Oryctolagus cuniculus: one gene and its partner. The protein of the gene in region 1 purifies or fractionates together with the protein of each later gene. This does not show direct contact. Links are inferred from orthologs where the notes say so. Each region holds a gene or a part of one and is shown in the gene's direction. Other genes may lie near its edges.

Region 1 (4,146 bases):
ACAGCAATTATTGCCTGTAGATGTAATTAATCATGCACTGGTGTGTCAACTCCGGGCAGTTTTCAATAATTTGCACTTTTTGTGGATGCCTTTCCCTCCTTTCCCTGCGCTTTTCTTCAGTTAATGAAGTCTCTTACTGCTACTCCTCTTTCCATCTGCCCCAGCGTGAAAGCATCATGAGGGAAGAACTTTGACTTCTTCGCAACACAGCGGAACACACACACACATCTGCCGCTTCGGAAACGTGTGCTGCCTTGGTCAAACGTCCTAAGTTGAACTTTGACGACCCCTGCTATTTTTGAAATCGGAGAAATATCTATCATCCACTAAATAACTCAAGTTTGAGGGACAGGTTCAAGTTCACTTGTTGCATTCGGCAAGCCTCCATCCAGCGCCCTCACGGCTGCCATGAGCATCCTGCCCGAGCAGGCGAGGACGAGAGAGGATGCCATACCTTGGAGAGCTCTTCCGGACAGGTACTGGAGGGCGGATGCGGAGAACAGGGGCTGGGGCGCCTAAGCACCCTCAGAGCCGGCGAGACGGTGCAGAGCTGCGCCCCTCAGAGCGGGCCGAGGGGACCGCCGACCTTTCGCACCTCCCAGAGATGCCCGGAGCGCTAAGCATAGGCTCCGGCGGTGGCTGCTGGGGCCCTGGTCGACATCTATTCCCGCTCACAGAGTTCTGCACACGGGCGCTGCTGGGCGCGGCCGCCTTTTGCCCGGCGCCTTCCTCAGGGGCACTCAGCGAGCCCGCTGACGCCGCCGCGGAAGGCAGAGGCACACGCTTTGGGGCGCGGGTGAACTCGCGCACCTGGCACCTGCCACACCGCGGGAGCGCCGGCCAGTGAGCCGAAGGCGCTGCCGCCGCCGCCGCTTGCCGCCCCCTCTCCCTGGAGCGGCCCGAGGCCGAGCACGTTCCCGTGGGCCGGCGGCGCGGCGGAGAGAGTGGGTGGGCAGGCGAGGGAGGGGAAGGGAGAGGAAGGAGGGAGGGAGGGAGGGAGAGGGCGAGGCGCGTCCCCGCGGCGGGGGCGCGCTCTCGCGCGGGCTGCCGGGATCGCTCGCCGCCGCTGTGGTAATGTCCGCCATGTTGGCCATGGCGCAGGGAGCGGATCGGGCGGGCGAGCGGCGGATCTAGTGTGTGGAAGCGGCCGCGGGCGGCGGGGGGCTGTTTTCGGGCGGGGTGGGCGCCCATGCTGTGGCCGGGGGCAGTGAGGAGGAGGAGGAGGAGCGGGCCGGCCGCGCTGCACTGAGGAAGGAGGTGGAGGAGGCGGCGGGAGTCCTCCCCCCCTCCCCGCCCGCCCCGCCGCCGCCGCCCGGGCTGTTCCTGTAAGGCGGGGAGACAATGAGTAAACTCTCCTTCCGAGCGCGGGCGCTGGACGCCGCCAAACCGCTGCCTATCTACCGCGGCAAGGACATGCCTGATCTCAACGACTGCGTCTCCATCAACCGGGCCGTGCCCCAGATGCCCACCGGGATGGAGAAGGAGGAGGAATCGGTAGGGACTCGAGTGTTTATTACCCCCCCTCTCCCTCCTCCCCCCTCCCCTTTGTCAGTCGGGCCTCGCCATTCACAGAGCGCTTTACGCTCGCTGGAGGGCGCCGCTGTCGCTCCAACGCATGGGACCCTACGCTGGCGGAGTAGCGTAAACCCTCTCGGCCGGCGCAGCGCCCGCCCGCGGCCGCCATGTTGTTGCGTCCCAGTGTTGTGATTAGCTCGCAGCGCCGCTTACGCTGCCGTAAGGGGGCCTTGCCGTAAGCGGCGGCCGGGAATGGCGCAGGGGCTGCGCTGGGCGCACTTGGCGTACGGCCTCTGTTTACCTTTCAAAAAAAAAAAAAAAAAAAAGTGTCCGCTGGCACGGGGTTAGTTAATAGCGAGGGTGTCTTTGGCTGGTACAGATTATGCGTGTGCGTGTCTGTGTATAGTTCCTTCTAGTTTTAAGTTTGGTTTAGCATTGAGTGCTGTTTGAAATGACTTACGGAAAGTAAAGCGCTTTCAAAACAAACATCTTCCCCCTCCTAGGAAGGGAATGTCGCTGCCCCTACCAGGGCTGCTGCAGCGAGTGCGGCCCTGCGGAGGGGAAAGGGCCGAGGCCTCGACTCCCGAGCGGGACGCCGGGTTAGCCAGCTGGAGCCGGACGCGGGGTGCGGGGCGCGGGGCGCGGGGCGGGCGGGCTCTGCCGGCGTCGCCGGTGCGGCCTCCGCTCACTGCGCCGCGTTCGAGAGGAACCGGGGATGCTCGAAACGAGCCGCCGGCGCGGCGCTGTCCCGGCGCTGTGACCCCGCGACATGGCCTTGGTTGGAGGAGGGTGGTCCTTTTGGAAGTAGAGGATTTACTGCATATAAGTTGACAGCTGTGTTTTTGATTATATGCCTTGTAGCATAAAAGCTGTTTCCCCCACCTCTGGGTTAAATTTTGCATAAGGTTGAATTTTGCTCTGGGTTGACAGTGTTTATGACTCTGGAGTGGTGTTCCTTGCATGCGAAGTTCATAGTAACTGCACCTTCAAGAATTTCTTCAATGAACCCACGGTCCCGCCTTATTGTCAACCTCGGGTCTGTGTGGATTGGTTCTCTTGCCTCTGTGACTGTCAAAAGAAAGCTCTAGGTTTCCGTGATTGGTTTTCTCTTTTGACTGTTAAGATTGCAGGAAATGCTTTTATGCCTTTGATTGGCTGCTTGAGTTCTGACCTCATTACGTTACCCTGCTATTACTACTTTCCTCTGTGATTTTAATCACATTTCTCCTTGGTGTTTGATCACCTGGAAGTCTTACATTTTCAGCAGAAAATGAATATAGCTGTGACATCAGGATGCACGATCAGTTTTTAAAATTAAAAAGTAAATAGGATAAAAGCCCAAAATTTAAGCCTAAGGTTTAGAGCTGAATGAGAGAATTTTGTTTTTTTAAAATAAAATTTGGTCCTAACTAAGCTCAGTTTTTCATGGGAAAGATAATTGAAATAAGAGGATAATACGTATTAGAATTAATTGATGAACTTTAAAAAAACTGGGGCCGGCGCTGTGGCACAACGGGTTAACGCCCTGGCCTAAAGCGCCAGCATCCCATATGGGCGCCGGTTCTAGTCCCGGCTGCTCCTCTTCCCATCTAGCTCTCTGCTGTGGCCTGGGAAAGCAGTGGAGGATGGCCCAAGTGCTTGGGCCCCTGCACCCACACAGGAGACCCGGAAGAAGCTCCTGGCTTCTGGCTTCTTCTGATCCGCGCTGCTGCGGCAGTTGCGGCCAGTGGGGGAGTGAACCAGTGGATGGAAGACCTCTCTCTCCTCTCTATTCTCTCCTCCTCTCTCTCTCTCTCTCTCTCTCTCTCTCTCTCTCTGCCTCTCCTCTCTCTGTGTAACTCTTTCAAATAAATAAATAAGTCTTTAAAAAACAGAAACAAAATTTGGAAGTTTTTGTTGGTTTTCAGGCTTAAAAGAACCAGTAGTGGGGCCAGCGCTGTGGTGTAGCGGGTAAAGCCAGCTCTCTGCTATGGCCTGGGAAAGCAGTGGAGGATGCCCTGCACCCGTGTGGGAGCCCGGAAGAAGCTTCTGGTTCCTCGTTTCGGGTCTGAGTCTCCTGTTGTGGCTGTCAGGGAAGTGAACCAGCAGATGGAAGAGCTGCCTCTGTCTCTCTGTCTCCCTCCCTCTCTCCCCCTCCCCCTCTTCTCTGCCTCCCCCTCTCCCTCTCTCCCCTCTTTGCTTCTGCCTCTCTGTAACTCTACCTTTCAAATAAATAAATCTTAAAAAAAAAAAAAAAGAACTACTAGGGTACAAAATTACTTGGATCCTATTATTTTAGAACCTGAGTCAGAAAACCTGTTCTAGAATGAACAGTTAATCCCTGGAAGGTACATTACTTTTTGCAGTCAGCTCCTACTTGGTCTTAAGCTTGTCACATATGTTTTATTATTTTAATTTAGGAGAAAACTTGCAGATTTTTAAAATGTTCTTTTAAAAATAAGCACTTAACAAGCCCTGTCACAGTTTGGTCATTAACTTTTTTCAATAAAACTTGGTTTTCAATCCAGAGCATTAGTGCTTGTATTCTTTTTAGAAGTCTGCTTTAACTGCTCAGTTTTAAGGAAGAAGAAATCCAGATTTGGATAGAACCTGAGTTGATACTGAGGACTTTTCTCGGTCCTATTCTTTCTG
Region 2 (4,103 bases), on another chromosome or scaffold:
ACAAGCCCTCATTGAGCCATTTAGGGAGGCCCTGACCCGCGACCTGACCTGAAACTCCATAACCTTCCCACCCACACCAACTCCCCCGCCCCCCACGGTATTCTGTTCTCCTCTCCTCACACCTGTCACCGATGTACTTTAAATTTAGGTGCCTTCTGCCTCTGCTGCCCACTGCTGTGTCTCCCCCCAATGTCCATCTACAGCATGCCTAAAATTTTACTCCCTATATGGGCAGGAAAAAAAAAAGGAATATAATTTACAGTGATAAAGAACCTAACGGTCCTAATGACGCAGGCTGTGCCACTGGCAGTATTTGCAAATACTCGAGTTTGCTGAATGGGCGAACACAAGCGATCATTCTCCAAAGCTGCTGTGCGTCAGGCCCACGTGGGAGCGCTCAGGACGCGGACTCCCAGACCCGCGCCCACCAAGCGATCCCGTCAAGTCCTGCATCACCGCCAGGAATCGGGGGTGCTGGGCTCAGCTCCGGCGCGGGCGAGCGCAGCCGAGCCGCTAGGGAAGCCCGCGACTACAGTTAGCGAAACAAATGCGTGTTGAGCGCCTGCTGGATACCCGGCGCAGCGGCTCCTCCGGGGGCGGAGAAAGGCACGGTCCCCGCCCTCCCGAGGCTCGCAGGCCCGCGCCGGGGGGCGGCGGAGGCTCCGCGGCGGCCCCCGGGGCCCGCGTCCCCGGGCTCCCTCCCACCTGAGCGCTGCCCGCCGCCGCCGCAGGTCGCCGAGGCTCCGCCCCCGCAGCCTCGCCGCCCACCGCGCGCCCCGCCCGAGCGCGCCCAGCCCGCGCGCCGCGGCCTCCCTCACCGGCGGGCCCCGCAGGCGCCGCAGCAGCGCGTCCTCGTCGTCCTCCACGTCGCCGAAGACCAGCTCCTCCAGACACCGCTCCGCGTCCGGCTTGTCGTCCTCCAGCGTCAGGCGGTTGCGCTGCCGGAGCAGTCTCTCTTCCTCCGCCGCCGCGACTGCCATCGCCGCGGCCGCCGCGCTCGGCCGGGCCGGCGCTTTCTGCTGGGATGAAAGGGCAGACTTTCGGGGCGGCCCGCCCGTCGCCACAATGGCTCTCCGTTCTGGCTTCATTCGAGTCTTCCGATCCGGCTTCGCTCCGGTTCTCCGGCCCGGTTTCGTTCGGCTCCTCCGTTCCGGCGGCATCGTTGAGTTTGAGAAGAAACGCAGGCGCTCACGTGGAACCTCAAGCGCATGCGCCCAGGCGCCTCACCTCCCGCGGCCGCCGCAGCCCCGGGGGCCGGAAGGAGCCTGCGCAGCCTCTTGCCACGTGACCAACCCTCCCCGCCCCCACACTACGTAACTCTGTTCCTCCTCGCCTGCCCCGCCCCGAGTGGGAGTTCCTTTGGGAGAAGCAATCTTCCGGGTGTAGGGGTAAGCGGCATGACTGGAGTGGAAAATTTTCCCCAACACAACCTCGCAGCTGGAGCATATCGAAAGACGTTTAAGGGAACAGGAGCACCAGCTGGGATGACTGAATGAGACGCCTCCTTTTCCTCCAGACTTTCTAGCCACTCGACAGAACGCCAGCCTCAGTTACTTTTCCCACCCTCGGTCTTGGTACGGTCCGTAGAGTACGGAGCCTGCCGAGGGTCCCACGCTGGAAGAGCGAGAGGAGGGTATGTGGGGAAGTGGGCCAATCGGGGCGCGGGTCACGGCGCAGGCGCGCTGGGAGGGAGGGCTATGCTAATGTTGTTGATATCCTGGGGCCACCCGAGTTAAAGGGGGGAAATCCGGGGGCTGCTGCAGCCGCCACCGGTCTGGGCCCAGCCGGGAACCCCTGTAGTCGCCGCAGTCCGGGGGAGAGGCACCTGCCCCCAGCTCGGGGAGGGGGCGCCGCGGGCTCGGGGAGCACGGACAACCCCTACCCATGAGGCCCTGATGGAAAACACAAAGGATCTGGTGAGAGCCGAGCGCGGCAGCCGCTTTGTGTGCCAGGTGGGGGGGCACGCCTCCAGCTCCCTGACCCCGCTCCCAGGCCCGCTCCTCCGCCCCACGCCCCCTCACCCCGCGGAGCCCCCTCCCCCTACCGGCCGTTAAACGTCTCAGGGGCTCCCCTCCCCCACTGCCTCAGCCCGGGACGCGTCGAGGTTCTCTCCGGCTCATCCAGTCGGGAAGGAAATTTTGAAAAGAAAGTTTTTTCTCTACGCCCCCGTCCCCGTGTCGCTGCGGCTGGGGGTTGGGGGTCGGGGGGAAGGCTGGGTCTGAGACTTTTTCCTTTTTGAGCCGCCCGGGGTGGGCGAGCCGAGTCCTCACCTCCCAGGGGGTCGCAGGCGCGGGGTTTGGGGGCTTTGCCGGGGGAGGTGCCGCGAGGCATTTTGCACGTGGAGGTGGAAATGTTGCAAGGGGGCGGGGTGGGCACGTGTGGGAGGGCGGGGTGGGAGTGGTGTTTGGGGCCGCTCCCTTAGAAGGGTCCCGAGGCGGTGGGCTTGGGTGCGCTCGGCGTTCTCCTGTGTGAACTGAGAATCCTCACGTTTCAGAGTCGGAGGAGACGTTAGAGGTCACCACGGCCGCCGTCCCCCGTGCAGCCTCTCTGACAAGTGGTAGGTAGTCTGGCCTCGGGCAGGAAAGCCCCTTCCGTGTTTCAGTGGTTCGCATTGCTGTGTGCCTGTCCTTAGAGATCCTCCGCTGTCATTCGCGTCCTGGTGAAGTTGCTCTTTTTTTTTTTTTTTTTTCCAACTTCTCAAATTTTTCTCTCACATCCTCCTCACCCACCCACTGCTCATTGGCCTATATTTTGTGTACCAGGAAAGAACAGCAGGCAGGGAAGTGGAGGAAAGAGAATGTGAGGGCGAGCGAGGGCCAGCTGAAAACTTTGCCGGGTCGGTGTCAAGCGTGCTGGCTTAGACGTCTGAAGAAACTGGTGTTGTGCTTTTTTGTTACACACACACACACACACACACACACAGGAAACCAGGGAATGACAGTCTGAGGGTTTCCAGGCCGTTTTCTCTCCCTAGTCAGTGCATCTTTTTGAAGTTGGACATTTGAGCGTCATCGGTATAGTCAGCCCTACCATGAAGTGTGTTTGCTTGCTACCTAAACCGCTTTCCCTAAGGAAGCCTGGCGTTGCCTTGTGGTGATGCTACTGAGCCGTTAGAAAGAAACAGCCGGTGGAGCTGAGCAGAACAGCATCCCTCCGCCAGCGTTCTCGCTTGTTTAACTTATCAGAGCTGGTCTCCCACCCAGGAGCCCCTCTTCCAGCAACTCCATCATAGAGAGACTTGCAGCTTATGCAACACCTTAGTATTTCCTTAGAATTTGCAGTATTTTAATGCTGCTCGCATGAGTACACCCCAGTATTTATCACTGGGTAGTTAAGGCAGTTCAGCTTCAGCTGTTGTCACTCAGTGATTGTCTAAAGCTCTCTTTCCTTGTGAGCTAGCTGCCTCCAGTAGTTTAGATGGCATAAGAAGGGGGTGGTGGTACATATGTTTTCCCTTTCCTAATATGGTGAAGTAAGAATTAATACATATTATGTCGAAGTCATGTCTAAAAGCAAGTGAATACATTTTACTCTAAGTTCCTGATAGCCTGTTTAAAAGGTCTGAGAGACCACAATTTTTCCCCTCCCTCTCAAGATATGTAGACTGTTGCTTTGCTTTTGGTTGCTAAAGGTGTTATTTCTCATTTGTTTACCTCAACACTCAAAAGTCTTTAAAAAGAAAACAGCTGTCTCTTTTTGTACCATCTCCTCTGTATAACAGGTAGCTTCTATTTGTATAGAACTCTGTAGTCAAGGCCTGTGTATACGTTGCATATTATGGCAAAAATCTGTTTTTGAGTAAGTATTCAGAGTGTCCTATGTTGGGACATGTTTTTCAACCATCCGAGTTTTAATCCTAATGTAAACTTTGGTATAGCGTTTTCTCTGAAGCTAGAAAATGGAATGTAGTGTGGAATTGAGTACTACGTCACAAACAAAATTACTAGAGCTACATAATTGTGTCTTTCAAGTTTTAATTAATACAGTTCCAAGTTGTTTTCCTGCTTGCTTTAAACATGAAGTGTCATGAGTTAAGTTGACTGGCTTTGGAGATATTTGCATTCTGAACATACTAGACAGGAACAACTGGTTTTATTTTTAAA

Evidence for each region. Proteins that work in one complex are often made in the same cells at the same time.
Region 2: the proteins of EPC2 (region 1) and MBTD1 purify together in Homo sapiens (affinity purification with mass spectrometry; 3 studies listed by BioGRID and IntAct, with this or other methods). This does not show direct contact. The link is inferred for Oryctolagus cuniculus from reciprocal best matches to the Homo sapiens genes EPC2 and MBTD1.

Annotation. Positions count from the first base shown.
Region 1 is NC_091434.1:93,573,960-93,578,105, reverse strand, and holds the start of EPC2 (enhancer of polycomb homolog 2), read left to right. Parts: upstream 1-1,341; coding exon 1,342-1,494; intron 1,495-4,146. UniProt on the Homo sapiens protein: May play a role in transcription or DNA repair.
Region 2 is NC_091448.1:27,053,661-27,057,763, reverse strand, and holds the start of MBTD1 (MBT domain-containing protein 1), read left to right. Parts: upstream 1-1,303; 5' UTR 1,304-1,633; exon of another isoform or gene 1,634-1,952; intron 1,953-2,494; 5' UTR 2,495-2,557; intron 2,558-4,103. Other genes in the region: UTP18 (U3 small nucleolar RNA-associated protein 18 homolog), read right to left, coding at 819-1,160. UniProt on the Homo sapiens protein: Chromatin reader component of the NuA4 histone acetyltransferase complex, a multiprotein complex involved in transcriptional activation of select genes principally by acetylation of nucleosomal histones H4 and H2A.